2 linked regions of the Arabidopsis thaliana genome follow. The protein of the gene in region 1 interacts with the protein of each later gene in a pairwise test. Each region holds a gene or a part of one and is shown in the gene's direction. Other genes may lie near its edges.

The links.
Region 2: the proteins of AT5G17190 (region 1) and RLK4 interact in a protein complementation assay, tested with the Arabidopsis thaliana proteins (one large-scale study listed by BioGRID).

What each region holds. Positions count from the first base shown.
Region 1 is NC_003076.8:5,644,569-5,660,964, forward strand, and holds AT5G17190 (B-cell receptor-associated-like protein), read left to right. Parts: upstream 1-7,602; 5' UTR 7,603-7,741; coding exon 7,742-8,134; 3' UTR 8,135-8,605; downstream 8,606-16,396. Other genes in the region: AT5G17165 (uncharacterized protein), read right to left, coding at 3,040-3,134; AT5G17167 (nucleic acid-binding, OB-fold-like protein), read left to right, coding at 741-834, 991-1,225, 1,250-1,499; ENH1 (rubredoxin family protein), read left to right, coding at 4,767-4,880, 5,014-5,226, 5,319-5,485, 5,867-5,948, 6,056-6,124, 6,237-6,407; AT5G17180 (uncharacterized protein), read left to right, coding at 6,868-7,239; AT5G17200 (Pectin lyase-like superfamily protein), read right to left, coding at 8,956-9,360, 9,468-9,576, 9,671-9,960, 10,064-10,222, 10,374-10,508, 10,601-10,768; AT5G17210 (transmembrane protein, putative (DUF1218)), read left to right, coding at 11,951-12,046, 12,775-12,986, 13,081-13,402; GSTF12 (glutathione S-transferase phi 12), read left to right, coding at 13,960-14,106, 14,172-14,220, 14,306-14,754; PSY (PHYTOENE SYNTHASE), read right to left, coding at 15,271-15,441, 15,539-15,731, 15,880-16,115, 16,233-16,396.
Region 2 is NC_003075.7:134,841-151,333, forward strand, and holds the start of RLK4 (receptor-like protein kinase 4), read left to right. Parts: upstream 1-13,771; 5' UTR 13,772-14,117; coding exon 14,118-16,213; intron 16,214-16,295; coding exon 16,296-16,493. Other genes in the region: EDA8 (Putative membrane lipoprotein), read left to right, coding at 1-395; AT4G00315 (F-box/RNI-like/FBD-like domains-containing protein), read left to right, coding at 2,564-3,460, 3,539-3,679, 3,761-4,048; AT4G00320 (F-box/RNI-like superfamily protein), read left to right, coding at 5,099-6,076, 6,170-6,310, 6,399-6,803; CRCK2 (calmodulin-binding receptor-like cytoplasmic kinase 2), read right to left, coding at 7,947-8,162, 8,245-8,546, 8,635-8,724, 8,804-8,978, 9,051-9,274, 9,359-9,587; RHB1A (RING-H2 finger B1A), read left to right, coding at 12,026-12,088, 12,355-12,724, 12,814-12,923, 13,093-13,122. UniProt on the Arabidopsis thaliana protein: Serine/threonine-protein kinase.

The sequences.
Region 1 (16,396 bases):
ACGAGCTAGCAGATGTGTGACGAGCTGGCAGGTAGGCGAAGAGCTGGACGAACTTAGTTACGAGGCGAACTGGTTGATAGACAACGAGTTAGACGAACTGAGTATTTGAGTGACGAGCTGGTAGCCAGGGGCCAAGCTAGACGAAATGTAGTAGAGAGACGAGTCGGACAAATCGAGTTCTGGTGAAAGTCTAGACGAGCTGGCAGACGAGATAGGCGGACTGTGTAGTCAATGGACGAACTGGCAGCTAGGCGAGGAGATAGATGAGTTGTGCACTTGAGGGACGAGCTGACGACTAGGTGAGAATTGGACGAGCTGACAGCTAGGCGAGGAGATGGTCGTTGAGTGATGTAGAGCTTGAAGACGAGCTGAAGAACTTAAAGACGAGCTGGATAGCTTAAAGACGAGCTGAGGAGCTTGAGGAGCTCGAGGACGAGCTGAGGAGCTTTAGGACAAGCTGAAAAGCTTGAGGACGAGCAGAGGAGCTTGAGAACGAGCTGAGCTTAAGGACGAGCTGAGGAGCTTGAGGACGAGCTGATAAGCTTGAGGACGAGCAGAGGAGCTAGAGAACGAGCTGAGGAGCTTGAAGACGTTTTAATATGGATTTCTTCCTCCTTTTTTCCTTGAGATGCCTCTCTATTTATAGAAAAACTAAGCTGGTGATAGGATAATGGACCAACTTTTATGGGCTTTTTGGGCTTGATGTTGATTAGTTTATTCTTGATTTGGGCCGAGCTAAAATGAGGGGTGCAATCCATCCCCCAACATGCCCCATGGAGCTTTCTGTATTTTTCTTCCCCAGAAGCTCAAACATCAACAGTTATTCACTAAAAGGTACTTAAATACATGGCTTAATTCCTACAAAATTCTACTACTTGCAATTAAATTCATACTTTAAATATCTCAAATCGAAACTGTAACTGGAGAAAAGCAAAAACCTCCTATAGATCTTCCTTTAAACTACTATAAAATCATCATCTCCTATACTAGGTACATCAGGAAACGATGAACGCGTGTTCAAAACCCTTAATCTTGCTCCGTTGGTGAAGAAACCGTTATCATGCCGCAAACACCTTCTTATTATGAAGAAACGTCTTGCCAACAACAACCCGGATGCTCACTACATAAAAGGTATAATATGGTACTTTAACCTTGATCATTGTGACGTTGGTCTCCACCATATTGGCATAGCAGCTAACGGAGGCCAAAAAGAAGCAATCTACATGTATGTCATGCTATTATTATGTAGAGGAAGGACTGAAGAGGGAAAAACCTATATGAGCCAATTTGAATGGGCTAAAGACACCACCATGGCTGAAACGTGTTGGAAACAAATCAAAACTTCACTAAATGGGATTAGAGTGGCGAGAAAAAGATGCTACATGATATCACTTCGCAACATGAAACCCCCCGACGTGTGCCATCCAAGAGATTTGGACAACACATGTGAGAAATGTTTTTTCTACAAACAAATGTTTAAGTTTATTTTTATGGTATAACTTAAACAAAACATCTAGAGAGTTGGAAACTGTTTTTAAAAAATTTCCTATAATGTTTGAGGCAGTGAACTATCACAAAAACTCAAAACAAAGTTATTACTCTTATTTCTTTTGCTTTAATGTGTGTCTTTCCTTGCTGTTGTAAGGAAATTTATTTTTACAATAAAATCAAACTTTTAATTAATTATCTAAGCATATCGTACTTTCAATGTTAATATTGTTATAATCCAACTCTTTTTGGCTAATTCGCGAAGAGACGTTGAAAAGTAAAATCTTCCCAAAACCAAAGAGTAGTTTCTAAGATTTTAACAGAGACACAAAGAGAAAAAACAAATGGGCGGGTTCATATTGGGCCAAAATTAACAATGGCAACGATGTGTAAAATAACTTCGTCGTTAGTCTCTGTTTTTCGCTATCCTCTGCAGCAACCGCTTAATGCGAAACAGAGAGAGATTTCCATTGTATTTTTAATTTAAAATAAAATATATAAAAACAAGACCAATGTAACAAATGCATTGCTTAGATATATATAACTCTAAAAAATATTCTTACAAGATAGTAAGTTTGGTCTATTGTCCTATAAATTCTAGCATATAACTGGTAACAACATGAAAAAAAAATGTAAAACTATACATAGATTACAAAAATGTAAAAATTAAAAGATAAGATTAGCAAATAACAAAGATATTCCCCTTTTAATCAAAGATCAGTAAAAAAAATCGAAGTTATAATTACATACTAACAAAACCAAAAACAAACCACCTCGCGCAACGCGCGGGTCTCCTCCCTAGTGACTTTAATTAGTGCCATGAAATATGTTTTTAGGAAGTTGCATGGTCCATGCATATTTAATTTGTAAATTAATTCATAAGATCCGGTCTTTCGCACGATCGACACAACACTAAAAAAATATGATGGAATCGCAGAGATAATTACACTTCATTTTTTTCATGTTAGAGAAAGAAAGAAAGAAAATGAGGACCTCTCCAAGATGTATTTTTCTCACTTGACCCTCTCCAAGATTAAGGGAATAATCTGTATAAAGACACGTGTCATTCCTTGATGGACGATTGGGTTTGAACCTTTTTGGTATTATCCTCTCTTACGCCCAATTGGATATGCCATATAATATGCATAGTTCCTTTTGGATTTTATAAGAAAACCTTTGTTTAAAAAAAAAAAAAAAATTTATATGTATTTCTTTGTAAATGTTGGATCATATGCAAATGTTGGATATGATCATTTCAGTTAAAGTCTCCAAAACCACACCATTGTCTAGGCAGTAAAAAAAAAAAGGGGACACAATTGTGAAAGTTTTTGAACACTTATTTCAGTCGAAGCAAGTTTGAGTTTAGATGTGGGACCAATAACATAGGTAAAAGATCAACATCTCGTCTAGAACACTATGACCTAGCCAAACTATATCACGAAATTTACATATGTCCAAATTTATATTTCTCCTTCCCCTTTATTATCATCGATAACGTAAACTATCAAAAGCAGAAAAATAGAGAGACAGAGAGAAAAAGGAAAGAGCTACCGAGACGTGAAGAGACCATATGCGACGGCGCGTGAACGAACGCCGTTGACTATGTGCCTCCCGACCACCTGAATGTTCTTCGATTTGGCTGCCATTAACTCTATTTCTGTACACAATATTGAGGGAGAGAAGAGTGAGAGAGAGTTGTTTAGGATGAGTATTATTAATGGTGAATTCAGTAGTTGAGAGTTGAGTGTGAGTTTTTATAATAATAATATTAGTGTGGAAGAGAAGAGATGGGAGGATACACACCAATACGATTCGTGTGTTGTGGTGCTCCGTTACACAACGATACACAACGGGAATAATTTATATTTTAAAGTTAGTATATATAAAATTTTGTAAATTATATTTATTTATAAAATATTTTATTTTATAGTTTACAATTGTTATTAAGTAACGTCCTGTCAAACCCGTCCCGCCAAACCCGTCCCGTAAAAAAACTATTATTTTATTAATATTAATCTTATTTATGATATGTTTATGAATTATTGTCTAAATATTTTAGTTGATGTGGGACGTACAACTCACACATTTTCGTCAATTGGTTAATATATGCTCATTTTTTAAATTTCGAGTCACAAAATATGACGGAAAGAATTGAGATTTTTTAAACTCTATATATTATATAATGATGTTAAAAAATTATGATATATTAAACTTTTTATAAGTTTAAATATTAATAATGTTTTATAAAGTTTAAATATATAAATAATAATATTTAAAAAGATTATATTTTGAGCCTTTTAGGTAATGACATAATAACTCTAAAAGCAAGGATTTAAAAGATTTAAATATTTAATTAAATATTTTTATTCCTAAATAAATAATATCAGTGTCATGACATTGTAAATAGGTTCAAATACATGATTTATTTATTTAAACAAAAAACGTTTAGTAAGAATAATATTTGTTTTAACAAAATACTTTGTTTTAAAATATTGTTAACAAATATGTTTATGCTAATTTTAAGGGATTGATTTGAAGTTTGTTTGGATTAAATTTGATTGATAATGTGGTTGACAATTTAAATCAAGAATTTAAAGTAAAATTAATTATTTTGGAGAAAAGATTTAATGCTAATGGCATTGAATTATAAATAAGTCCAAATCCAAGATTTATTTGTTAAAATGACTGCAAAAATGTATATTTAGATTATTCCCCACCAATGAAACGCCACCGTTTTGCGTCTGAAGGCTATGTATTTTGTACAGTATGGACATGGACCTGTAACGGGCTCTTCAGAAGGAAGCCCATCTTCTAAAACTAAAGGATGTAAATTTGTGTCATTAATTTCCCACTAATAACTCATTTATCTCCGATTATCTAACGCACACATCACACTACTTCTCTTCCACTAACATTTTTTTTTTTACGTAACATATTAATGTTCATGAGAAGATTCATGGAACAAAACATAATTTAATCAAGAAATTTGAAAAATAATAAATTAGGATATAGAAATGATTTGTGATTGTTATTTGAGGAAGATGAGAAGAGTGTGGATAGTGAAGAAAGAAAAAAAAGAGAAGAGTGTGGACAGAGTGGACCGTGCATAACACACGAAAATGTTACGATTACCACGAAAAGGTTATCTCTTTGGAGCTTTGACACGGGCCTCCTCAAACAAAAACAAAAAAACCTAGCTTCTCTCACAAAACGCATGCAACAACATCGAAATTAAGAATCAATCAAAGCTTCTTCGTTCGATCACACTAGAAAGAAAGATGGCAACGTCTGGTGCGATTTCAGGAGCTACTGTCTCTTCCTTCTTCACCAAAACTACTACTACTTCAAACCCATCTCCCAAACTCCATTCCTCTGCTTCTCTTTTATCACAGGTCTATATCTTCTCTTCGATGTCTTTACAAACGAATCTGAAATTCTCGTTTTCTTCCTCTTGAATGTGATTTGGACTTAGCTTCATCTAAAAGTATGTATATTTTTTTCTCTTGTTTTGGTTTGTGTGTTTAGAAAACTGTGTTTCAAGGAGTTTCGTTGGAAGATTCGAAGAAGAGTGTATCAGAGATCTTCGCTGTCTCCGAGAGAAAGATCGGAGGGTTAAATGGGTTGAGAAGATTCGAAATCAAAGCGAGAGCAGCAGCTTCTAAGACAATAGAGGTTGAAGTAGATAAGCCTTTGGGTCTGACTCTAGGACAGAAGCAAGGCGGTGGAGTTGTCATCACCGTGAGTTATTTTGAACTAAGTCTCTGCAATGGAATGGTATCTTTGTAAATTTGTTGTTTGATAAAATTGAGGGGTTTGTTTTTGGTTTTCAGGGTGTGGACGGAGGAGGGAACGCAGCAAAAGCAGGGCTTAAATCTGGAGATCAAGTTGTGTACACAAGCAGTTTCTTTGGAGATGAGCTTTGGCCTGCAGATAAGCTTGGCTTTACTAAAACTGCAATTCAGGCAAAACCTGATTCTGTCTACTTTGTTGTTAGCAGGTGAGTTTGAGTGTGGTTGTGATTGCCTCTCTTGTTTTTATTTTGGTATTATCTTGCTAGAAATGTGGGTTCTGCTTTTTGAAATAAGGATTAGATTGAAATGATCAAATTTGTCGCAAATATGTTTCCTTTGAATCCTGTGCACAAGAAACCTGTGAAAAGCTGTAGTCTTGATTAAGTATTCCATGGTCTGATGCTATAGTTGATAAGTCTTCTTGAGGTGCAATGTGTAGGTTTAGTTCTCTTCTTATGCTATGTCATTAGATTTTCGCAATGCTTAGCTTAACAAGCTGCATAAGTTAGCACCTCAGGTTATTCATTAAGCTTTTTGAGGTTCTTTATTAGTTTCTGATGCAATTTATGATCTTTGATCAAACACAGAGGTGCAGAAGTTGATGTTAAGAAACTAAATAAGCGTCCGGCTCCTCCACGGTTTGGAAGGAAGTTAACTGAGACTCAGAAGGCTAGTAGCAATCTGTTGTTTCAAAGATTGAATTATTGCATTTAAAACCCCTTTTTAGAAACTTGACTGATTGATTTGTCTTGACACCATTACATTCTCGTTTGCAGGCAAGAGCTACTCACATTTGTCTTGATTGTGGATTCATATACACTTTACCCAAATCTTTTGACGAACAGGTGAGTCTCAATCCTTTAATTTTAGTTTATATACAAGTTTGATTTTGGCTGCATATATGTTTCTGATTTTTATAACTAAGTTTTGTATTGTTTTCTCGGGGTTCTTTTACAGCCGGATACATACGTATGTCCTCAATGTATAGCACCAAAGAAGAGGTTTGCAAAGTATGACGTGAACACAGGAAAGGCCATAGGAGGAGGATTGCCTCCAATTGGTGTCATTGTTGGCTTATTGGCCGGTCTTGGAGCTGTTGGAGCTTTGCTTGTCTATGGTCTTCAATAAATTTTTCTTAAAACTTTTATAATCTCTATAAAACAAGTCCGCTTTGTAATTGCAAACCAAGAATGAATGTTGATGACATCAACTTGAGAGTTAAATTATGTAAAGCATTTTTCGATTCTCTCCTTCTTATGTAACTCTTGTTTTCTCTGTAATCAAACTAGTGCAGCAGCAAGAGTTAAAAACAGAGTAAGGTACTTGCAAACCATATATCAAACACAATTACATTAATTTTTTACCAAATTGTATTTTTTTTTTAAGAGAACTAATTTTAATTTTTTTTTTTTTTGGTTTAATGTTAAACAATTTTAATTTATTTTGTTGATAGATAAACTTTCTACCAATTCTAATTATATTTATAAACCATTTACCAAAAAAAATTATATATATTTATAAACCTTCCACAATCTTTGAAGTCACACAAGTGAATTCAAAGAGTATAATCATCAACAACAAACAAACGATGGCTAACGCAAAAGACGTGAAAGACTTCAAAGAAACTTTTCAGAGATTTGATCAATATGTAAACGGAGAGATTCCATGGAGGGAATTTGACATGACTGGCGTACGCAAACGTTCTACTCCAATGACCAAGTCTGAAATCGACACAATATTTGTAGAGCTTGGAACTCGTGGTGAAGATAGAGTCTTTAGAGATTCCAAGTTTTCCGGTAATCCTCTTCAAGCTTCTGTCTCTCTTAAACATAAGCCTAAAGATGTGATTAATGTGGTGCAAAAAGAGTCTTGTCTATATAATTCTGACAATGATGAAAAGAAAACAGAGAATCAACTTCAAATTCCAAAGAAGGTCTCTCGAAAGTATAGTGAACGATGATAAAGATTTTGAGTTTTGTTAGGTGCAAGTTCTTTTAGTTTTGGTGTTAATCAAGTTTTTAATAATGACTTTGATAGAACTTTTTTCTTTCTTTGTGTTAACAACTTTAATGGAGCTTTTGTCGTTTTAATATATCTTTATGTTATTATCTTACTAAACCATAAAGATTTTTATTTTATTTACGAACGTTAAATCAGGGAACAAGATTAGGTTCTAGAATATACTTGATGACGCATTACAATATGAATTTGGGAAAATCAATTTTGTTGGGCTGATGACAAAAAAAAAGTTGGGTTGAAATAGGCCCATTAAGAAACCTCGACGTGCGAGACGCGTACACCACACAAGCGCCACGTGCTTAACCCTCCGTACATCTTCTTCTACCTTTTGTACCAAATAATCAACAAAGGCAAAGAAAAAGATCTAAAACTTGTTCACTAAGAAAAAATCAAAATCAAATCAGAGCACCAAAACCGACTCAGATCTAGATCGGATTTCTCCAATGGCTCTCGAATGGGTTGTGTTAGGTTACGCAGCAGCAGCTGAAGCGATCATGGTGATTCTCTTGACGATGCCTGGACTTGACGCTCTCCGCAAAGGATTAGTCGCTGTAACTCGTAATCTCTTGAAACCGTTTCTCTCGATAATCCCGTTTTGTCTCTTCCTTCTTATGGATATTTACTGGAAGTATGAGACTCGACCTTCTTGCGATGGTGATTCGTGTACTCCTTCTGAGCATCTTCGTCACCAGAAATCGATCATGAAGTCTCAGCGTAACGCGCTTCTGATTGCGTCGGCTCTTGTTTTCTACTGGATTTTGTACTCTGTCACGAATTTGGTTGTGAGGATTGAGCAGCTTAATCAGAGGGTTGAGAGGCTCAAGAACAAGGATTAAGTAAGATCCAGCTGCTTCGTCCCTCGTCTTCCTCAGGTCCTTTAGTGTTTTCGAGTTGTTTGAATTTCGATGAAAGAGTCTCTTTACTACTTGTGCCGTTTTAGGTTTTTTCTGCGTTTGTTTTCCGATGTTTGCTCTTTGTTGAACTGGGGATTGAAGGATCTATAATACTTAAAATATATGCTTCTTATGCCTTGTTCAATGCTTGTTTGATTATCTGATCTGTTGCACGTTTGGATTTTGATTGATAAACTTGCAATAAAACTTCAAACTTGGAGCCTTGTTTGATTGTGTTCTAATATGTTGGTTTGATAATCATGAACCAATCATTGTTCTTTTGTCAATGATTCAATCAACTTAAGGACTCCAGTTATGGATTTGATTAGTACCTCTTTTTCAGTTTTCAGTTCTTGATAGAGTAATGTAGCTAATTTACACTAGCTGCTCCATGGTTCTTAATGAACATCTTTCCCAATCTCTCTGTTACACAGTCAAAGAGCGTTTGAACCTTTCTATTCTTCTCCATAATCTCATTTTTTGCAGAGGTTAAAATCCCAACTTTGTTTTGATTCAAAGCAACCTCAGAGTTTCAGTCTTTCTTAGATGATATGACCCCAAAACCCAATTTTCTGCAGGATTTATTGCAATAGTAAAAGTAACAAACTGAAACATTTATTCAGCCAATAATAAGAACAAATTAGACGTTTTCTACTTTAAAAAAAAAACTCGAGGAAAAACGGTTCTCTTCTAAGAAAAAAATTGAGAAGACTCCATTTTCTTTCTTGGTTCTTGAAGGAAAGGATTTCACAAGAAAGGCATACTTAATGTTTCAGACAATCCACTTTTGAAGCAAATAAAGACCCATGAGCATTTTTGCAGGAAGAAAACAACTTGTGACCAAATGTCGCTGAAACCATATTCACATTGTCCATCACTATATCTGAGCATCCCAAGTCTGCATCGCAGTTCAATGTAATGTCTTGATCGCTTGCAGATGACCCACGGATTCTAGCGTAACGCACGTCAGTCACTTTCACGCCTTTCCCATTACCAGACGGAGTCCGTTGTTTTGCTGTTAAATGACAGTTCTGATAGCTACTAGATGACTTGCTTATTCCTCCGTTCGTACCTCCATTGTGGTAAGTCTGGTCTATGATAATAGGGTTCTCTGAGGCAACCATGTTGATATCCTCGAATGAGATTTTCCGAGCATATCCCGATCCGTTCTACAAAACATTCACGCCAACAAAAAAAAACAGATTTAGTTTGTGAAAATGCTGAATAAGACCAAGAACTAATGATGTATAATAAAAAAAGAAGATTAATGGACAACCTGGTATGTCTTGATTCGGACACCGTTCTGTGTTTTTGTAAAAGTGCAGTTCTTTACCCTCACTTCTTCAACAGTTTCGAAATCTCCAGTTACTCCAAGACTTCCTACGCTATAATATCAAATCCATACTATAAATGATTTAGCATGTACCTTGCTGTATATTATATGATGATTGTTTGTGAATCTGTGATTTTAGGAATCACCTGATACCGTGACCGGGGCCACAAAAAATGCCGGTTATGTTGATATGAGAGGAACCGCTATTAATGGCGATGCAGTCATCTCCAGTGGCAATCACTGAGTCATGTATGTGGACTCCTATACAGTTCGATATGTCAATACCATCCGTGTTTGGACTATCACCGGGTGCTGTCATCCTTAAACCCCTGACCTCGATGTTCTGTGAACAACTTAGACCTACATGGTTCCGAGGGCTGTTCAAATGTCGGAGATTAGATATCCTAAGACCATTACAGTTGTTGAAGTGCATTGCCTAAGAAAAGCAAGGAAGAAAAAGAAACATCATTAATAACTGAGAATAAATATTTGATCGAAGTTCATATTTATGGTTGTGAGGATCTTGCAAATGGACTTACGCAGGGGCGATTATTAACGTTGCCCCACCACAAAGAACCACGACCGTCGATGGTACCACCTCCGGTGACAACAAGACCATTGATACTGTCAAAACTAATCCATGTTGTGTATCTTCCCGCATACCAAGTGTAACCCGGTGCCACAAGATTACCTCTTATCTAATGTAAATAAATCACCAAATTATTTAAACATTGGTTCGAGTTATTGTCTACTCATAAGCTAAAATCGATCACTATTGAAATCATTCACATTAGGGCTGGATTTTCCAATATAATTTGAAACAAGAGAAAGAGACAAGTATATATATACCGATAAGGAGATGGTCGAAGACTTGCATGGACCGATGAATGTAAGAGGCTTAAGCATGAAGGTTTTCCCTTGAGGCACAAGAATCTTTCTATTGTGTCCTCCTTTGCATACAGCTTCCCATGCTTTAAGAAAAGCCTGAAATATATTGATACACATAACACATACATTAAAACAAAGGTTATACATACCACTTTGATACAAATAGTGATGATTCTATAAATAAACACCTTAGTATCATCAGTCTTTCCATCGCCAATAGCTCCGAAACTAGTGACACTTATGAATCCATTGCTTCCAAATCCGTTTTTAACCTTTAGAGATTCTTCTTCTAAGCAGAAACATAATTTGTTTATTTGAAACAAACATAACAAGACAAAGAACAACGAAGATTTCATTTTTGGACGACTCATATGCTTGACGATGAGAACGAATTTCGATGATAATACGTTTTCTATCTATATATATCTCTAAATGTATATATAGGTTTGTATAAAGAAAGGTGGTTAATTGAAAGATATTGCGTTTGATTTTGTGTTTCTATGGTAAGAGATTATCGCTAATCACTAATTTTGTGTGCTATAACATGGAAACTAATAATGGACTATAATTGAGATATTGAAATCTTTATAACTATGGAATATTCAAACTTATTGACGTATTTAACAAATCGCAAACGATATATTTTTATACCGTTTTGTTTAGCGATAAGAGTGAAAGTTTACTTATATGCTTGATTCTTTCTATTGCTTACATGCTTGATTCTAGGAATGAATTAATTATGGCTTATCTAAAGATAGAAAATAGATTCATCATTAACTTATGTCATAAGAGAGAAAGAGAGACCTATGATTGAATCATTTATATGATGAATATATCCAAGGCGGCACTAATCTTTTTTGATTCACAAGAATCTTTAGATTGATTAAACCAAAATGTAAATATGACGAAACCTCATAAGAATTTTATCAAATATAAGTCCATCTAATTTCTTTAATTAGATAAATAGTAAATTTGAAATGAATAAAGATAAATAATTCATGGACGAATAAAATACAAATGATAGAACAAAATTCTCATTTTCATTCTTTATATTTTTGGTCAAGAATATTGTCATTCTATTCATTTTTGAATTATAGTAAGAAACAGATAAAATGTGTTCGTCTTATAAATGATGAAACTCTTAAATAAAATAAAATCTATGTAACCAATAAGCTATTCTTATTTAGTTAAATGGAGGAAACTTTAAATAGATTAATTTTCTCTAAATAATTTCTTTGCATACCTCAGTAGCAAACCGGTCCGGTCGGATCTGAATTGAACAAATCAAACCAAAATCAGAAACCAAACCAAAACAGAGAAAATACATTTTATTGAAACTTGAAAGTACCATTACGCGTGGATCTATGTAATAAGGAGGAGAGAGTAGAGTACTTTGCCGACTAAAAGTGAGTGCGGTGTTTAATGGGTTTGTCACCAACTTTCCATTTTCTTACCAACGAAGAAGAAGCAGAAAAAAAGTAAACAAAGACTAAAAAAAAAAAGCCAGCATCTTCGGAGTTGGTGGGAGAGAGACAGAGATGGAGAGGAGAAAGATTGTGATGTGTGGTGTTTTATTTCTTCTTGGTTTATTATCAGCTGTTACTGCCTTCGTCGCTGAAGCTACTCGAATCAAGGTTTCTTCTTCAGCACTTTTTAGGGTTTCTGTTTTTTAGTGAAATTTGTGGTTTTTCTCATGATCTTTGGGTTATTACAGCCACAATGGTTTGTTGAAACTCTATCTAAAGGATTTTTGGGTTTTGTCTGCGTTTCTTTTTATGTGTCGATTTTGAAATTCATTGCCTGAAAATGCGTTTGAGATGAAAGCTTCAATCTTTGAGATGGGAGTTGAATAATAATTGGTGGGAAACTCGTTGGTTTGGGAATTTTTCAATGAAACAGTAATGGTCCCCATTCACGGTGGTTTTTGTATAGAAGAACTTGTTGATTTCAAATTTGGAAGATCTTTGAGAAGTTTAATAGTAATTTTTTTTGTAGAGAGACTGTGTGGTAAAGAGTTGTTTTCTGGTGTGTTTTGGTAATTGCATATGTATTGATATGTTTAATGTCAGATTCCAATTCAACTAAGTCTCATTCACAAGCTTTTCACAATTCACATATGTGTTTTTGGATTTATTGAACCAAAGTTATAGCCTTTCTTAATGGGGTTTATGTATTGGTCGATTCGGTTGAATCATCTTTTTTAGAATCAATTAGTCATATAGAATTTGCAGGGTATGTAGAATCAGTTTTATTCTCTTGAACTACTCTGTCTATTAAGAAACTTTCTTGGTGTGTATTTGTGCAATGTTTCAAACTTTTTCTGAAGGTTTTGTTTTTCATTTTTATCTTAAAATCGATGCAGAGATCTCAGGTCACGGTTACCGTTTCGGATTCAATCACAAAATGCACTTATCCAAGAAGTCCAGCTTTCAATCTCGGCTTCACTTCAGCTCTCTTTCTGATGATGGCTCAGATAATAGTCAGTGTCTCAAGCGGTTGTTTCTGTTGTAGAAAAGGTCCTGCTCCTTCAAGGTCTAATTGGATTATCTCCTTAATCTGCTTTGTTGTTTCCTGGTAATTCTCATCATTTCTAATCCTTTTCTTGCTTCAAGTTTCCTACTTATAATTTGCTTACAACTAGTGAGTGAGTGATTTCGCGTTACTATAGGTTCACTTTTGTAATAGCTTTCCTCGTGCTGCTTTCTGGAGCTGCACTCAACGATGAACACACCGAGGAATCAATGAATGCTGGTACCTACTTTTGCTACATAGTGAAACCAGGCGTTTTCTCTACCGGTGCTGTGCTTTCGCTTGTTACTATTGCCCTTGGGATTGTCTACTATTTATGTTTGACTTCAAATAAGCAAATTGTTGCTGCCACAACGACCCAAGGAACAGGAATAGCAATGGGGCAGCCTCAGATTCCAGAGAGAGTAGAAGATCCTGTTTTTGTTCATGAGGATACTTACATGAGAAGACAGTTCACTTAAAAACAGACAAAGCTTGCTTGTAAAGCACGTTAGGTTTAGTAGAAGATTTAGACAAAATGATTAACGGATATGTGTTTGATTAAGAGTATTGAAACTTTGTAATGATTGTTATTCTTGATTGAAGTAGAAATCTTTGAGAACCCCAAAAACGTCACTTAGTTTTGTAGTTTTTTTCTCTGAATCTTTCTTATTTATTATGCAAGTCAAAAGTGGTTGTTGGGAAGAGAAGTGTTCGTCTCATTTACAACAAAAATTCGATAGCGATATATAGTAATCGAAATTTTATTCCCAAACAAGGGAACTTTGTTATTGATAGTTGGAACTAAAAGTTTGTAGAGAAATTTCAATGATACATATCCACCGTTAGAGGAACAACCACCACATGTTCTACCCAACCCTCACAACAACCAGTTTCTTCAAATCTTGAGTCTAATAAAATGCCAACACATCTACTCTCATTTCTTCTCATTTATAAACCAGTTTGATAGACAAGATATTAATAAGTGCATATAGTAAAATCTTTCTTATTCGTAACAAAGTTATTGTAAACTTATAGAATGGTTGTGAAACTATATGGACAGGTAACAGCAGCTTGTCCACAAAGAGTCTTGCTTTGTTTTCTCGAGAAAGGAATTGAATTTGAGATTATTCATATCGATCTTGATACATTTGAGCAAAAAAAACCAGAACATCTTCTTCGTCAGGTAAAAAAAACAAATTTCTTAAACTTAAAACATAAATATATTATAATTATTGTTTTCATGTGTAGCCATTTGGTCAAGTTCCAGCCATAGAAGATGGAGATTTCAAGCTTTTTGGTAACATCCTAATAACAACATTTTATAAACATTCTTCTATCATTTTCTTTATAGTGTTTTGAAATTTGGCTCTTTATCTTCTAAGAATCACGAGCCATCGCGAGATACTACGCTACCAAGTTCGCGGACCAAGGCACGAACCTTTTGGGCAAGTCTCTAGAGCACCGAGCCATCGTGGACCAGTGGGCTGACGTGGAGACCTATTACTTCAACGTTCTGGCCCAACCCCTCGTGATTAACCTAATCATCAAGCCTAGGTTAGGCGAGAAATGTGACGTCGTTTTGGTCGAGGATCTCAAAGTGAAGCTAGGAGTGGTCTTGGACATATACAATAACCGGCTTTCTTCGAACCGGTTTTTGGCTGGTGAAGAATTCACTATGGCTGATTTGACGCACATGCCGGCGATGGGGTACTTGATGAGTATAACCGATATAAACCAGATGGTTAAGGCTCGGGGTAGTTTTAACCGGTGGTGGGAAGAGATTTCGGATAGACCGTCTTGGAAGAAGCTTATGGTGCTGGCTGGTCACTGAATTAGCTCCAATTTATGATGATCTGAAGAACCAAATAAGCTTTATAGTTTCTGTTTTATGTTTGTGTTGTTTTGTACGTTTCAGTAATAAATTCAATATACTTTTAAGATTCATGTCAATGCTAAGACCATAGTTCTCTATTCTTAAGTTTTTACTCTATTTTTGAGTGAGATATAAAATGGGGTTAAAATAGAAGTGGAGTTTTTACATAGTATACAAGGTTACTCACTTGTACTATTATTCGAATATAAGAAGAACTTCTTTCTGTATGTATATCACAAGATTATTTCATCAACCAAAAATTGTATATCCCCTCATTAGGCCAAGAGAACTATAACTAAAATAAAATTAAAAAAAAAAATACTTTTTTACATTCAGAAAGATAATGTAACATTATAAGAATTTGCTTCCCCATTAATATGTATATATTAGTTAACATAATAAATTCGAGCCTAAGTTTTTTCTTAATCACAAAAAGCGCTCTTAGGTTGTTTTTGTTCCACTTTCCTCTCGCTCTCATATCGATAGTCTTGAACTTGAAGTCTTTAGTACTGATTTAGCATAAGCCAATGGCAAAGCTGCAATTTTCTTGACTTTCCCCACATAAGCTCTCTTAGTAAAATTGTTGTAATCATTCGCTTCAATCTCGTCCAGTATTCTCCTGTACAATAGCAATGAAGCCCATACCTGAAACATTGCAGCCAAGTCCTCGGGGTTAAAATCGATCCAAAAGAAATAAGTAAACGGTAAACTTGCGGCTGAAGAGTGTTTTAGAGACACTTACAGGCCATCTGCTAGCGGCACTGAGCTCGGTGACGCCTTTCTCAGCTTCGTCGAAGAACATTCTTGCTCGTTTAAGCTGCATTTTCATGAAGTTTCTCCATTTATCAGTTACTTTTCCGGCGAATATGTCTTCATCTGAAAGACCAGCCTGAGCCAATTCATCCTGAGGCAGATAAACCCTTCCTCTTCTCGCACTGATAGTGAGAACAAAACCAATTTAAGAGAGATATGTGAATCAAGAAACCGGTTTAAAAGAAGCATGTGAAATCAAGAAACCGGTTTAAGTGAGATATGTGAAATCAAGAAACCAAAGCTCTATTTAAAATATATAAAAAGACTCACTCTTCGCCTACGTCTCTGAGTATGTTAGTAAGCTGATTGGCTATACCAAGGGCCAAGGCAGCGTTGTAAACACTTTCGGTTGTTGCTTTCGACTTAGGATCGATTCCCATAACCGGAACGCTCATCAATCCGACGGTTCCAGCGACGTAGTAGCAGTAAAGGTATAGATCATCGAAGTTCTGGTATCTCGATTTCTTCAAGTCCATTCTCATTCCTTCGATCATGTCTCGAAATGGCTGCAACATAAATAAACATTAGACCAAAGTTTTATAAGGTTTATTGCAATGGACTGAATGCAACTCTTAACTCATGTAATGAAATGAGGAAGTAAGATAAGACAGAGCAAGGCTGACCTGAATATCGACCGGGTATCTAGCAACTGTATCAGCGAGAGCAGCATCAAGCATATCGAAAGGACGACCACGGAAAAGATCTTCTAACCTTGCTTCCCATCTATCTAAAGCCATGGGAGTTATATGTGAAGCATTTGGCCCATCCACAAGTTCATCAGTTCTTC
Region 2 (16,493 bases), on another chromosome or scaffold:
AACGTGGACGGCCACGTGGTTCGGGAAAGAAAGTTTCCGCTCCGGCATTGAAGAATCCGTACGAGTTTTACTATTACTCTGGTTTCGGGCCACGGTGGGGGAGAAAAAGAGGCGGCTCCGACGACGAGAAGATGGTTATAAACGATAGTAAAAAGAGTAGAAGTAGCGCTAGTAGCAGTAGTGACGAAGACGGTCATAAAACGGCGGCGTTTGGAGGTGGGAGTGTGAGTTTCGACGAGTTTGATTTTGTGGATGAGGATTATGACGTAATGGAACAAGATCAAGGAAGTGATCATGGGAGGAAGAAAAAGAATGAGAAGATGATAATGATGAAGAAGACGATGAAGAAAGGAAGGAAGCCCGTAAAGGAAAGGTCTTTGAAATCCCTCATGTGAAATATTTTATGGCTTTTAAGGGTATTTCCGTCTTTTTCTACTTGTTGTTATTGTCTGGTTTTGTTGGTACGGGGGTTTGGTCTGTTTGTTTAGTTTGGGAACATTTGTAGGAAGATTTTCTACATCTCTGTTGTATTTGTTAGATGACTGTTTTAGTTGTTCTTTAAATTGTTTTTTTCATAGACTCTGATGTTGTCTACACAGATTTAAAGAGTCTTGAACAATTTTCAAATCACCATCGGTTAAACCTAATTGTATACATGTTTCGAATCCTATCCTAAATTGTTAAGTTAAAAGTAAATATGAGGGTCTTTTAAGAGTTTAACAAAAGATATAGCTTTACATAGAACAATTTAAAATATAGAAGGTTTTAGGAGCGTCTCAATTTTCAAATTTAAATTTATATCGATTAATTGAACATGTACATTATATGATTACAATCTATCAAATGTATAAAAATATTACAAAAGATAATACCTTTTAATTTTATTTCAGAGATACAAATAAAATGATATAAGAGTACACTGTTTTGCGGAGTATCATAATCTGAATTAATTTTAATAATTCAAAATATCTTTTAATATATATATTTATCATTATATAAAAAATCTCAAAAAATATTTTCTGATTTAATATTACTAATACATGATAACAAGTAACAACATGCATCATATTAGAAAAATAATATACTCGCAAAAACTTTAAACCTAAATTTTTTTGTCCTAAAGAAACACTTTTATCCCTCAATTTTGTTTATATGATGATGTTGGAGCTTGTGGATCTCCTAATCTCTCAGAGATTTGCTCTGATTTTGTGCGAAGTTTGTTTTTTATATGATGATGATGTTGGTTGTCGGATTAATTCCTCCACAAAAACACTTAACATTCCCAATTTCTCTTTTCTTCATCTTTATTTTCTCCGATTAATTTTTCTGTAATTTTGGGGATTTTGTGAGGTTCATTTTGTGTTTGAATTGATTTGATCTATTTTAATTTTGAATATGTATGGCAAATCTATTTTTTTTTTTAATTTCAATCTGAAACCAGAGAAGAAATTATCTTAAGTAGAGTACGAGTTATAGGTTTCCATAAGATTGTGATTTATTCGTTTTCACCAACCACTAAAAGAAAGAGACAAAAAACACGTTGCATTAGTTTTGTTGGCGTCTTTAGCATTTTCAATGTAGTCTATATTATACATTGGTTCAGCTTGAAAATTTGCAACCTTGATAATTAATATTGGGATTCCCTATAATTACTGGTTCGCATATCTCACTCGACAACTCGTATTTAACATAATTATAGCAACAAATCACCACAAAATATACTGAATTTAGAAGATTTTCCATAAAATTCAATAACATCTATACATTTTTTTTGCCGATCAATGCAGGTTTACAAACTTCAGTTAATTATGTTAGTTAACATTTTTAAGTTTTAACAATTTTCTATATTAAGATCTTTATGAAAAGGAAAAAGAAAAAATGAAAATAAAAATATGTATAACTCAATCATTATAATATAGAGAATAGAGAAATTAATGTCATTGTTAGTCTCATTATGTTAGCTTCCAAATAAATTAAGAAAAAAATCCTTAATTCTAAAATAAAATAAATAATTAGAATTAAAAAAAAAATCAAATATAAGAAGAAGTTTTCTAAAAAATTAACAAAAAGTTAGTAATAAACAACCGAGAGCGAGTTTTCATTCATTAACTCGCTCTTGGTTGCTTATTCAAGATTTATTTGAATGGATGGTACGAATGTAACATGTGCAGTAAATATTAGATTTAATGTCTTAGTGAGCATTTTGCAATAAAAATCTGTGGATTTCATGTTTATTACAAACAGTTTCTTATAAAACATTTCCTTCATTATTCATTAAGAAAATTAATTAAGAGCACAAACATTTCCTTGTTCGTTTGCCCTAGACAAGGCAATAAATCATATCCTAGAGAAGCGTAATCGATCATTCGATTTTCTTTACCTAAGCGTACAATTGAATGTTTTCTTATATTATTTCTTCCGTTCCTTTGTCTTATTATTCCTTAAGTCTATGTTCTTACTTACGTTCACTCTTTTTTTCTTGGTTACTCGGACAGATTCCAAGTTTCTTATTCTACAAGATAAATGAATCTTGGTTAAAATCAAACGTGGAGGTTGTGAAGAAATGGACAAGACAAGTCAGTTGCCTGATGAATTGCTGGTGAAGGTATTATCATTTCTTCCAACAAAAGATGCTGTAAGAACGAGTCTTTTATCGATGCGATGGAAGTCTCTTTGGATGTGGCTGCCGAAACTGGAGTACGATTTTAGGCATTATTCAGTTTCGGAAGGCCAAGGGTTAGCTAGATTTATTACTTTGAGTCTACTAGGACATAAAGCTCCGGCCATTGAAAGCTTGAGTCTCAAGCTTAGGTATGGAGCAATTGGATCAATTAAACCTGAAGATATCTATCTCTGGGTTTCACTTGCAGTTCATGATAGCAACGTCCGTGAGTTAAGTCTCAAGCTTTGTACTTTTGCGGAGCGTCCAACTAAATTGCCCAAAAGCTTATATAAATGCAAATCGATTGTGATCTTGAAACTGAAAGACGAGATTCTCGTTGATGTTCCTCGTAAGGTATGTCTCCCCTCCTTGAAAACATTGTTCCTTGGACGTGTGACTTACTCGGATGAAGATTCTCTTCACCGACTTCTCTCCAACTGCCCTGTTCTTGAGGATCTAGTTGTGGAACGAGATAGAATTGACAATTTGGGGAAATTGAGTGTGGTTGTCAAGTCCTTGCAGAGACTAACCCTAAAGATGTCTTGTCCTTGTCATCTTGATGGGATTATGATGAATACTCCTTCTTTGAAGTATTTGAAAGTCACTGATGAAAGGCAAGAGAGTGATAGTGATAATGAGAGTGATAGTGATAGTCCTCGATACTTCTACGATTTTGAAGATATGCCTAAGTTGGAGGAGGCAGATTTTGTATTGACATTCCAAAATATCAAAAAGTTCTTTAAATTTGTCACATCTATTAAGCGTCTTTCGTTATGCTTGGGAGTCTACACCGAAGAGGTAATCTGTTTCCATCAATCTATCAAACTTATTTTTGAACAATATTCTTGAAGTTGAATCTTTTGTCATCTTATGCAGTCTTTATATCATGAGGGTCTTGTCTTCAACCAGCTTGAACAATTGAAGATATGTTCATGTGATTCAGATTGGTCAATTTTACTTTCTCGGTTACTCGAAAGTTCTCCCAATTTACGAGAGCTCGAGGCTTACGTGATAGAAGTAAGTTTCTTCGTTAGAGACATATTCCATTGGTTCAATTTACTATATTGTTTAAGCCAAACTTCTCATGTTTGATCACAGGATCATCCAGATAGGCGTGTGGATCTACCAAATCAGTGGGGCAATCAGCTGAATTGTGTTCCTAAATGTTTGTTGTCGAGTCTCGAAACGTTCAAGTGGAGTGAGATGTATGGATTGCTGCAGAACCAGATGGATGTGGCTAAATATATCTTGAGAAATGCTCGATGCTTAAAGTCTGCGACAATCTTTTTTCCGACAACCTATGCTAAAGAAACAAGAGATGAGATGATCGAGGAGTTGTCACTTTCTTTTCAAGGTCCAGAGACATGCCAAGTCTTCTTCCATTGAGGATGTGAATCATAAGGATTCAAACTTGCATTTCCATAGACACTACCCTCCATATTACAATGGTTTTTTATTTGCAGCAACTTGATCTAAACTTAAGGTGTTTTTTTTGTCTTTGTTTTTTTTGTATACTTTATCTTTGAGCATACTATTTTTCTTGAGACATTGGCTTTATCTTTTTCTGAGATCTTAACAAATAACCGAACTTTGAAGAGACAAGACATGACATGAACTTTTATTTGCAGCAACTTGATCATAACACAAGACTCAAACACAAGACTCAAACACAAGACTCTTCAGCTTATAGATCATAAAGTAGATCAATAGCACAAAAAGATATCAATTAGAAGATCAGTCAACAATATAGATGTTGTAGAAATTTGCATCCTAATAAAGTTCATTACAAAGAAATGACCCAAGTTTCCCACACATATCCGCATCAAAAAAACAAGTGCCATAACATTGCATTAAGATTCATATTCATATTACCAAACAGAGCACTTGCACACATACATCAACACAAAACCGGCAAGAACATCATAGGAACACTCATTTGAAAAAACCCAAGGAATAGATTCGACTATGTAAACACAAACAAGTATCTAGGAAAATCAAAAACATAAGTAATAGAAGAATATGTTACCTTCAAAGAAGAACGAGATTTTCTCAGCGCTCTCAAACCCGGGTTCTCAAACCCGAACCGGACCGGAACCGGACCATTACCCATTTAACCCGACGGTTTACCCATAAGCCGAGCCCTAATTTTTTCAAAGAAAAGGGCCCTAAACTTTTCGTCTTCTCGCTTCCCTTCCTCTATCTCGTCTTCTCGCTTCCCTTACTCTATCCCATAGAAAAACCCTGAATTTGGTTTGGCCAATGATGTCAAAACTCTTCATTGATACTTAAGAAAGTTTTCTCCATTGTTCTTCTTATGGTCTCATTCACATTTGGTAAGTCTCTTCAACGATTTTGGTTTTGTGAGCACTTACTTCTTCTTACAAGAATTACATGTCTTTGTTCAGGTTGTAACTGTTGATCTGTTTCTGTCACAAAATGGGTTCGAAAAAGAAGTGTTTTGATGGTTCTAGAGATGGAATCAGCGGTTTACCAGACGCAATGATTTGTCACATATTATCATTTCTTCCAACTAAAGTAGCTGCTTCAACTACCGTTCTTGCCAAAAGATGGAAGCCTTTGCTTGCTTTTATGCCAAACCTTGACTTTGATGAATCCTTCCGTTTCGATCCTCGAATGACTTGTGAAGAGAGGAGAAAGGGTTCTGAAAGTTTTATGCTTGTCGTGGATAGTGTATTGGCTTTGCAAGCGGAAGCGAATGCTACGTTGAACAAATTCTACGTTAAGTGTGAAGGTGTTGAGCAAAACTCGGTGCTTGAATGGATACCTAAAGTGTTGAAACGTGGTGTGTTAGATATTGATCTACAGATCCCTTCGTCTCGCGGTTTTGGTTCCAACTCGACTTTTTATCCTCTACCTTCAGAGATCTTTGTGAGCAAGACATTGGTTAGACTAAAGATACAGTTTCAGGATGGTGCCAACGTTAATGTGGAAGGTGATGTTTCTCTTCCGATGCTTAAGACTCTCCATCTTGATTATGTTAAGATGGATACCAGAATGTTACAGAAGCTTCTTTCTGGCTGTCACACGCTCGAAGAATTATTGCTGATGAATTTGATATGGAAAGAATCTTCAGAACCTGAACCTTGCTTTGTGAGTGTTTCTGTCCGAACCCTCAAGATACTAAAATTTTCTCGTTTTGAAAATTTTATGAAGGCTAAAGATTTTAAACCGATCGTGTTATTGTCATTTGATATTCCAAATCTAGTCTACTTAGAGTACTTGGATACAATTGCGGACAAGTATGAACAAGTGAGGTTTGACTCGCTTGTTAAAGCTAGTATTGGTCTTTGTAAGACCTCTAAACAGATTGAAAATGACAATAATAATGTAACAAAGCTTTTCATGGGAATATGCAATGTCACGATTCTCTACTTGACTGAAGATACTCTTAAGGTCAATCACATCTTTCTCCTAATCTATTAAATTTCTACTCAGATATTGATAAGTGAGTAATCATATATGTAGTTGATTTGGTTTCTCTTTCAGGTACTTGGTTGCTGCCGTGAAACAATGCCGGTATTCGAGAACTTAATTCACTTAACTATTAGGACTGGAGTACATATAGGATGGAAATCATTACCACATCTACTCAAGAATTGTCCAAATCTACAAACTCTTGTCTTCGAGGTACTGTATACATCCTTTAAATCAACCGGTGACATGCTTTTGAAACACATATAATTAGACTTTGATATTGATTCATTTTATGTTTCAGGGAATGCATCATATATATAGGAAAGGAAGAGCTTGCGGGGACGTGGACGAGGATGGGACGTGCATGTGCAAAAATCTGGATAATATGAGGGTGAAGAAGGATATTGATGCTTGTCTATCGTCAAGTCCGGTGAAGGTCATAAAGATATTGAACTTTGGTGAACTTTGTGGGTTTTGTGAGTTTTGTGATGTTGAAGAAGATGTAGCGGGTCAGATAAAGCAGGTCAAGCAATTCCTAGAGACAATGCCGGATCTTGAAAAAGTGATATTGTACTACAATACACCAGAGGATGAAGATGTGATGAAGGTGTTCAAGAAACTTAAGAAGCTTCCTAGAGTAGCTTCAGCCAAGTGTGAGGTCCAAATAATCTCTGATAACATCAACTTGTCATTTACTTTCCGTTAGATGATCTTTTCTGGTTTCTCAGCCATGGACATGTTTCAGGCAATCAAGCTGCTACAAGTTTGCTAAAAACTCTAAACTCTGTTTCTTCCTTTTGTTATTTCCTTTTTCTTCTCTTTATTGGCTTTTATCTTACAAACCAGTGAACGTTTTGTGTTCTTTTGTTGGTTTTAGTAATGAATTTGTGTTTTTTTATGTTTTTAATTTGACGTGTTAGAAACTTGCTTGTCAGGTTAAACCAAATCAAACACCATAATTTATTTAGTTAGGTCTGCAAATATTAGGTCGTTGCCTCTAATATCTAACTGCTTCAGTTTCATCAAACCTCTAAGCACCAAAGATGCAACAACTAATATTGAACAAGACTCAAAAAGCGTTAGAAAACACTACATAACGTACCTTCAGTTGAATGAATCTCATTGTGACTGAGATCTAACATTTGGACAAATATAGCAACTTCTCGACCGCGGCTATCCGAGATAGTGTTAAGTTACTGAGCCTTAGACATACAATATTATTCATATTCCTGTACCGAAAGAGGTGTCTGCACATGGATTCAATGCTCCTGTGCATCAACATTCTCTTTATGACTTGAGAGATCTAAGAGCAGAAACTCAACTTGAGAGATTCACTAAAAAGTATGTACCTCGTGGAGAAGAGCTACGTTGTGCTCATCCTTGTAGTACTGGTCATGCCAAGAATCAAGAGCCATTAGATCGTTATACAGTTGGAGAATCATGACTTGCTTTCCTTGCGACTAAAGCAATGTTCTCTACTGTCAAGTTTCAGACGAGCAACCCAAACACAAAAGTCCACTTGAGAGTTTTTCTTATCCGAAACTGGTTCCCAGACAAGTTCTTTGAGTTCAGAATCAATAGTAACAGTAGATGAGCTAACTCCACTGACGGCTTGGTCAAAGTAAACTTAGTAGAAGAGGCATTGAAACAGCCAGGTCCAGATAGAATGATAATAACTCAATTTATTAACACCAAATACACGTTAATATAATACTACAAATTTCAAAATCAATTACAAATCAACAATTCTCGTACAAGAATGCATCGTGTATGACAAATTAATATTCAAACAAATAATATATAATTGTGTATTCAAAACCATATTATATAAGCGTAGAGAATAATATCATCAAAGACTTGTGTTGAGCAACTCTCTGTAATCTTTACGAATTCCCCACAAAATCTCACTGCATTTTTTCATGCTTGGTCTCGAACGTCTATGAGGAGCTAGACATTGAAACGCCATCTCCAATACCTTCTCTAATGCTAAGTTGTTCGCTGAATTCTGTTCTAGCTTCGGGTCCAATACCGATATCGTATCTCCACTCGTGAACTTCTTGATCGCCTGATCAAATCACAACCATTACACATGAATCAAAAACTTGTTGAACTTACTTTATAGTAGCTAAGAGAATGTTTAGTGTTACCCATCTAATGGTGATGCGTTCTTTTTGTCCTCTGCTAAGCTCGATGGGACGCCGACCTGTGAGAAGCTCGACGAGCAGTACACCAAAAGAGTAGACGTCACTTTTCTCTGTGAGTTGATACGTTGTTAAGTACTCTGGGTCTAAGTAACCAGCGGTTCCTTTGACTTGTGTTGACACATGCGTGGCTCCTGAATCAGTATCTGGAGCTAATCTTGCAAACCCGAAATCAGCAACCTTGGCTCTGTAATTCTCAGTGAGGAGAATGTTTGAAGATTTGATATCTCTGTGGATGATAGGTGGCTCTATAACATATCCAAAACAAATGTGTCAAGGAACAAGTACTATTGCCATGAAAGAAAAAGAAGGAACCTATGTATACAATGGACTTACGTGTATACATGTGAAGATAGGTTATGGCATGAGCTACATCGGTTGCGATATCTAACCGAGTCGCCATGTCGAGAGTCTTTCCTTCCTTACCTACAAACAGATTCACATTGATCGATTAGCTTGAAATGAATATATACAAAAAGAAGATAGTAGTAGGATGTGTACTCACAATCCAAGTGATCTCTAAGAGTTCCATTGGCTACATACTCCACAACGAGAATCTTCTCGTCGTTATGAACAACAAATCCATAGTATTTAACCAAACTCAAATGAGTAACTTGAGCTAATGTCTGAATCTCACTCATAAACTCTGCATCTGCACCTTGACGGTCGTCATGCATACTCTGCATCAAGTTAGTTACAATGTTATAGCGACAATCTCCATTAAGACAGGACTTAGAAAGGAATATTCAAACCTTTTTGGCACGTTTCACAGCAAAGGTTTTGCCATCTCTGAGTTTGACCTTGTAAACAGTGCCAAAACCGCCTTGTCCGATCCTAAAGGACGGAGAGAAGTTCTTGGTCGCGTCGTAGATTTCATCGAAGGTGAATCTTGTATGCTCTGTTTCGTTTGCATTTCCATAACTCCTCTGTACACTACTACTTCCTGTTGAGCTACGTCTACTACGGATATTATTGTCTGCTCACACAGAGACCAAATAAAATCATCATCAACTGTTTCCACTAAAAGTCTAAAATCTAAGAATTACTGATCAAACTATACCGGAAGAGGACTTTGAATTGTCGATGTAGTTGGAGGAAACGGAATCGGGAGGAGTGAAGCAGTTGATGAAGATACCGGAGATGCGACGAGCGATGGAGGTGGTTGTGTCGGTGGATGTACGGGCAGGGGTTGTCGGGAAGGAACGATCGGTGAAAGTAGTGTTACTGTAATTGGAAGATGTGGTTGCAGGAGATCCGACGGTGTAGCTATGTCTCCGACGACTGGGCATCGGAAAGTTCGTGGAGAACGTGTAGCAATGGTGAACACGGAAGGAAGGAAGAGTCGGAGAGACTGACTTTACAATTTTTTCAACTTTTTCTTCTCCGTTGAAAAAGACGACTGTTTTGGGTATTTATTGACGCCAGCTGTACAACTTGACGTTCTCTGATTAACAAAATTTAAACTCGACAAGCTAAGATAATTAATGTGTATAATTTCCTTTTTTTTTATTACATTTTGTCTAATGATTTGTAATAAGCTTTTTTATTCCTTAGATTTAAATTCGATAATTATTAATTTTGAAAAAAAACGATTGGTTTCAAATTTTATTGAATAACTAAATACTTTGTATATAATAGTAGTTCTCGGCGTTCAGTTATCCATTCCGTTATCGATTTTTTCGGTTTTAAAGTTTAGTATCCATTCGGTTATTTGAAAGTTCTGTTCGGTTTCGATTTTAAAATTTAGTATCCATTCGGTTATTTCATTTAAAATATTTCGGTTATTTTGAATATTTTTAAATATTTTTAGATATTTCCAAATATTTTTACTATTTTATTTATATTTTCAAGTATTTTTAGTTATTTAGTCTAGAAATAATTAACACTTTTAAAAATATATTTATACTTTAGATATTTTACCCAAAATATTTTGGTTTGTATTTATTCGGTTTTATTTCAGATATTTCGGTTATAGAATTTAATATTTATTCGACTAGTTTCCAATTTTTGGTTCGGTTCGATTTAATTTTTTTTTTCTTCAATTTTGGTTCGGTAAATTCGATTCAATTTATTTACAGTAGTACTTTAATTCGGTTTAAACGCTCCAAAACAGCACGTACATGGAAAATTGCATATGTAAGATTATTAAATAATTTTAGTATTTAGAACATCTACTAAATTCTGTCATTATTGAATTTATAGAGGATAATTAGTTCAATGCCAGACGTAATCTATCCGAATGATTTGAAAATTTTCAACTAATATCTTGTTAGCGATTATTCCGCCGCCACCATATTAAATGCCAGATGGGTCTATCTCTATTAATGCAATAATCGAACTCGCATTTAATTTGTATTTTTTTTTACAACAAAGATACCAAGAAAAAGGTATAATATTTTTCTTATAAAGTTACTATTAGATACATTTTATATGAAAAAGGCTTAGATTAGAGGAAATAATAAAATGGTAGATTAAATTACTTTGATTAGAAGTCAATCAATATTAGGTTACGGTTAACAAGGAAGATTCATAGGCAGGTGAAGGATGATGAGAATTGAGACCTTACCAGCAAAATATTCAATAGCCTCTGATAGCGACAGAGGGTTTGACCTTCTGTAGAATGGACCATGGTCTAAAATGTTTATAGCCCATGTTTCAGAAAACAAAAGCCCAATGATTAGCCCGTATCCTTAACCGACGTCGTACTATTTAAAAGGTATTTAATGAGATTTGAGAATAATTAGGCAAACTAAATAAAGTAAAGTAGGATTACAGTATAATTACTTACTATGATGAGGTTATTCGACTAGAGAAAAGGAGCTCTGTGTGTCGAAACCCTCCGTCGCCAGCATTTATTCTTCTCACTTTTCTTCACCGGAGAATCACGACAACATCAAATTCTCCGGCGACATCTCAGGTTATCTTCGTTTACTGCTCTCATCGGTTAATTATTCCATCTCTTTTTTTGTTTCCCGGAGTCGGCTTTCGTGTACTTTTTGTTTTTGGTCTTTTCGGCTTCTTCAATTTTAGGGTTCGCGTACTGTTTAGTGTTGTTTAGTTTCTGATTTAGATGTGCTTACTGTGTTCATGTTGTCGTCTATTCTTATGAGAAGATCTTATGGTAGAGTTACATATCAATGATGTTACCAATTTTGAAGGTTATTGTGTTGTGTTTGATTAAAATTGGCTCAAGTGTGAAATGCTTTTGCTCGCGTCACTGTTTTCATTGCAACTTGACTGAATCCTAGAGGTTGTTTTAGAATATAGATTCAAGTTTCAGCTATTGATGGGACATTACAACAGAGCATAAGGAACATTCCCATACCTTTGTGTTTCTTATGGATAACTTTGGCATCAGATCAACTTTTTCTTTTGTCATTTTGCTTATTAACACTGTAATAATCACTTGTTATTGGGATTTCTCAAGTCTGCTTTGATTAATCTTGTTTCGTAATGTTCTTCTCACTATTCACTCTTCCCATACCTTTGTGTTTCTTATGGATGACTTTGCCATCAGACCAACTTTTCTTTTGTCATTTTGCTTACTAACACTGTAATAATCACTTTTTTTTTATTGGGGTTTCTTAAGAGTACTTTTGATTAATCTTGTTGCATTCAAGTAATCGTTGTTCAGTTCACTCTTTTCCTGCAGTGGCAGTGCATCTGTAAAATGCTTCAAGGACTGTTGTTCGCTACTCTTGCTTAATTATTACTATAGCTGGTGAAAATGGGAGGTTGCTGTAGTTCTTCGAGGAAGTCACATCTTGTTGGAACACCTGTTTACTATTATGTCAGTAATCCTTTTCACCATCTTGCATTTGTGTTGCTTTGCACTACTGACTATCTATAGATTATGATTTTAGTTAAAACAAATCGGGACAAGAGCATGATTTTAGAATCTCAACAATTTCTTGTAACAATCTCGCTTGAGTGGTCGATAGTAGACTACTAGAGGTCGTGAGTGAGCTGTGTTTGAAAAATGTCTTCTGAATTATCTACAGTTATTTGATTGTGACACTCTACAAAGTTTCTATTTATTAAAAGTTTGTTACGCAGTGTCCAGAATCTTTTGAAGAGCTTGTCCCTTCAGGAACCCGTGCTGGTGTGGGATCAGCATTCACCACAGGCCTCTTGGTTGATATAGGTTTGGAGACATCTATACCTGACACCTTTTGTGCTCCTGCTCCTCTTCCATATGATTTGCTTTTGGGGCGACCACAATGCACAGATTCTGAGTCCATCAAAGGAAGGATGAGTGGAAGCAGTTTTGAAACGCTAGCGACGTGTGAAGATCTTGGGGAATCAGACTGTAAAACTCTAGCCAGCTCAGTCATTCTTTCACCGAGGAAATCAGATTTCTCGAAACATCAAGGATTGAAGATATTGGTTGATGAAGAGGAGGACTGTTGTCCTATTTGCTTTGAAGGTAAGAAATCAAGACCGTTGAATAAAAAGAACTCTTTAACTCTTGTTTTTATGAGAGAGCTAAACAGAGTCGTGGATTGCACTATGCAGATTATGATGTTGAGAATCCAAGACTAACGACAAAGTGTGAGCACGAATTTCACCTCTCTTGTCTTCTGGAGTGGATTGAAAGAAGCGATAGATGCCCAATATGTGATAAGGTGTGTTTCCCGCTTGAGCTTTCTTTGGCAGATCGATTGTCTTGATGATCAAAGAATTGCACTTTACTGTTGGGAATTCGTAGTTAGATCAACCATTGATGGTTGCGTAATTAGGGTAAATAAGTGCACAATTTGGCAACTAACTAACATTCTGTCTTCTTTAACACAGGAAGTTGTGTTTGATGATCGCTTGAACTAGCATCATTACTATCCCCTGGCTTGAAAGTTTGAAGGTGTGGCGCTTTGTTTGGTTAGTCTACTACATAATTAGCATACATCTATTTTGTTTCTTCCTCACACACTTTAAGTGTTGGGTCTCCACATTTCCACTTAGTTTTGTCGTATTGGTTATGTTCGTTTTGCCCTTGTGCGATCATATAGATATACATAACAATTGTAAATATTACCTAGCTTCTTGTTCGTTCGTTTGTGATCTCCGGGGTGTGATAGAGAAGAAAGGACCACCATTTCAGTATTTTGATTGTTTGCATCTTCAAAATCATGTCCACTCTTGTCTTGATCCATGATTCTATCTTAGCAATATTGGTTAATGCCCTGATCTGGGAATCATAATAAGCATGATTTTGTTTGTTTGTTTGGTTAAAGAAAGAGAGAGATTCTATTAGATATGGATATAGTATAATTCCATAGTCTAAAGAGAAACTGAATATTCCAAATAGTAAATTGATCCACATGCGACTAGTCTTGTCGTGTGTAAGATATTAAAAAGAAAATGATTCTTTGATTAACACCTTTTGTCTGCTGCATAAAGTAATTAATTAGAAATAATTAAGAAAAAGGTTAGGAATCATTTAAGAAGAAGAGAAAAAAGATGTCATGGCTTTGACTTCTAGCCACTTATGTCTGCCACTGCCACCTCCCTCTTCTCAATTCCTATTCTGCCCTTCTCTTTCTTTTAGTTCCTATCCTGCCGGTGTTGATGAATGAGGGTTAATATAGTAACTTTGGCGTTAGGAACTATAGTTCCAAAACCTTTTTCTGAATGAATTTACTTTTTGGAGGTATGAAGTCACAGCTTTTACAGATTTTATCTTGCAAAAATTCTCTCCACATTTCAAACGTCTAATAGTTAAAGAGAGCTTTTGTTTTTTCTTTCCCATGTCTATCAGTATCACCACCGAGAAAATATCATCAACACCACCAACCAAACATTAACCCACCCGAGAGTACCCAATGCCATGTACTACTTATCTTCCTCTTCTTCTTCTCCTCTTCCTTCTTCCACCACCATCTGTACAAAGCAAAGTTATCATCAAAGGAAACCAAACCATTCTGAGTTTCAAAGCTATTTTCCGGCTTGGTTTCTTCAGCACCACCAATGGTTCCTCCAATTGGTACTTGGGTATCTCTTACGCTTCTATGCCAACTCCCACCCACGTTTGGGTCGCCAATCGAATCCGACCCGTTTCGGATCCTGACTCTTCCACTCTCGAGCTCACCTCCACCGGATACCTAATCGTCAGTAACCTCCGTGACGGCGTCGTTTGGCAGACGGATAACAAACAACCCGGAACCGATTTCCGGTTCTCTGAAACCGGGAATCTGATTTTGATCAACGACGACGGTTCTCCGGTTTGGCAGAGCTTTGACAATCCGACTGACACGTGGCTTCCGGGGATGAATGTCACCGGTCTAACAGCTATGACTTCGTGGCGGAGTCTCTTCGATCCTTCGCCGGGGTTTTACTCTCTGAGACTGAGTCCAAGCTTCAACGAGTTCCAGCTTGTTTACAAAGGAACCACACCGTATTGGTCCACCGGAAATTGGACCGGAGAAGCCTTCGTCGGCGTTCCGGAAATGACCATTCCTTACATCTACAGGTTCCATTTCGTTAACCCTTACACTCCCACGGCGTCGTTTTGGTACATCGTCCCACCGTTGGACTCCGTTTCCGAGCCACGGCTGACGCGGTTCATGGTCGGCGCCAACGGCCAGCTGAAGCAGTACACTTGGGATCCACAGACGCAGAGCTGGAACATGTTCTGGTTGCAGCCGGAGGATCCTTGCCGCGTTTACAATCTCTGTGGTCAATTAGGGTTTTGTAGCAGCGAATTGCTCAAGCCCTGTGCTTGCATCCGCGGTTTCCGGCCTAGGAACGACGCCGCGTGGAGATCTGATGATTACAGCGACGGATGCCGCCGTGAAAACGGTGATTCCGGCGAAAAGAGTGATACTTTTGAAGCCGTTGGTGATCTACGCTACGATGGTGATGTGAAGATGTCACGGTTGCAGGTAAGCAAGAGCTCTTGCGCCAAAACTTGCTTAGGAAACTCTTCTTGTGTTGGTTTTTATCATAAGGAGAAGTCTAATCTCTGCAAAATTTTACTCGAGTCGCCGAATAATCTGAAGAATTCGAGCTCGTGGACTGGAGTTAGTGAAGATGTATTGTATATCAGAGAACCAAAGAAAGGGAATTCAAAGGGAAACATCTCTAAGTCTATAATTATATTGTGCAGCGTTGTTGGGTCAATCTCAGTTCTTGGGTTTACATTGTTAGTGCCATTGATTCTGTTGAAGAGGAGTCGAAAGAGGAAGAAGACTAGGAAACAAGACGAAGATGGGTTTGCTGTGTTGAATCTTAAGGTATTTTCTTTCAAGGAGCTTCAATCAGCTACCAATGGGTTCTCGGATAAGGTCGGACACGGCGGTTTTGGGGCGGTGTTTAAGGGAACATTACCGGGTTCTTCTACATTCGTGGCTGTGAAACGCTTAGAAAGACCTGGAAGCGGGGAGAGTGAGTTCCGGGCAGAGGTATGCACCATTGGGAACATTCAACATGTCAATCTCGTTAGGCTTAGAGGTTTCTGTTCAGAGAATCTTCATAGGCTTCTTGTCTATGATTACATGCCACAAGGATCCTTGAGTTCCTATCTGTCTAGAACAAGCCCCAAATTGCTAAGCTGGGAGACCCGTTTCAGGATCGCGTTAGGTACTGCCAAAGGGATCGCGTACTTGCATGAAGGATGCAGGGACTGTATTATACACTGTGATATCAAACCGGAGAACATTCTTTTGGACAGTGATTACAACGCCAAAGTGTCTGATTTTGGCTTGGCTAAGCTCCTTGGACGTGACTTCAGCAGAGTTCTAGCCACGATGAGAGGGACATGGGGCTACGTGGCTCCCGAATGGATATCTGGTTTGCCCATCACGACAAAAGCTGATGTGTATAGCTTTGGAATGACATTGCTCGAGCTGATCGGTGGTAGAAGAAATGTCATTGTTAATAGCGATACACTGGGAGAGAAAGAGACAGAACCAGAGAAATGGTATTTAGAGAATGTCTTTTACTTGGAATCAATTGTAAGAGAGAAAAAAACATATACATTGAATCAATGAATCCCTTTTCAGGTTCTTTCCGCCATGGGCAGCGCGTGAGATCATACAAGGCAATGTGGACTCTGTGGTTGACTCTAGACTCAACGGAGAATATAACACTGAAGAGGTGACGAGGATGGCAACGGTGGCGATATGGTGCATACAAGACAATGAAGAGATAAGGCCAGCAATGGGAACGGTAGTGAAGATGCTTGAAGGAGTTGTGGAGGT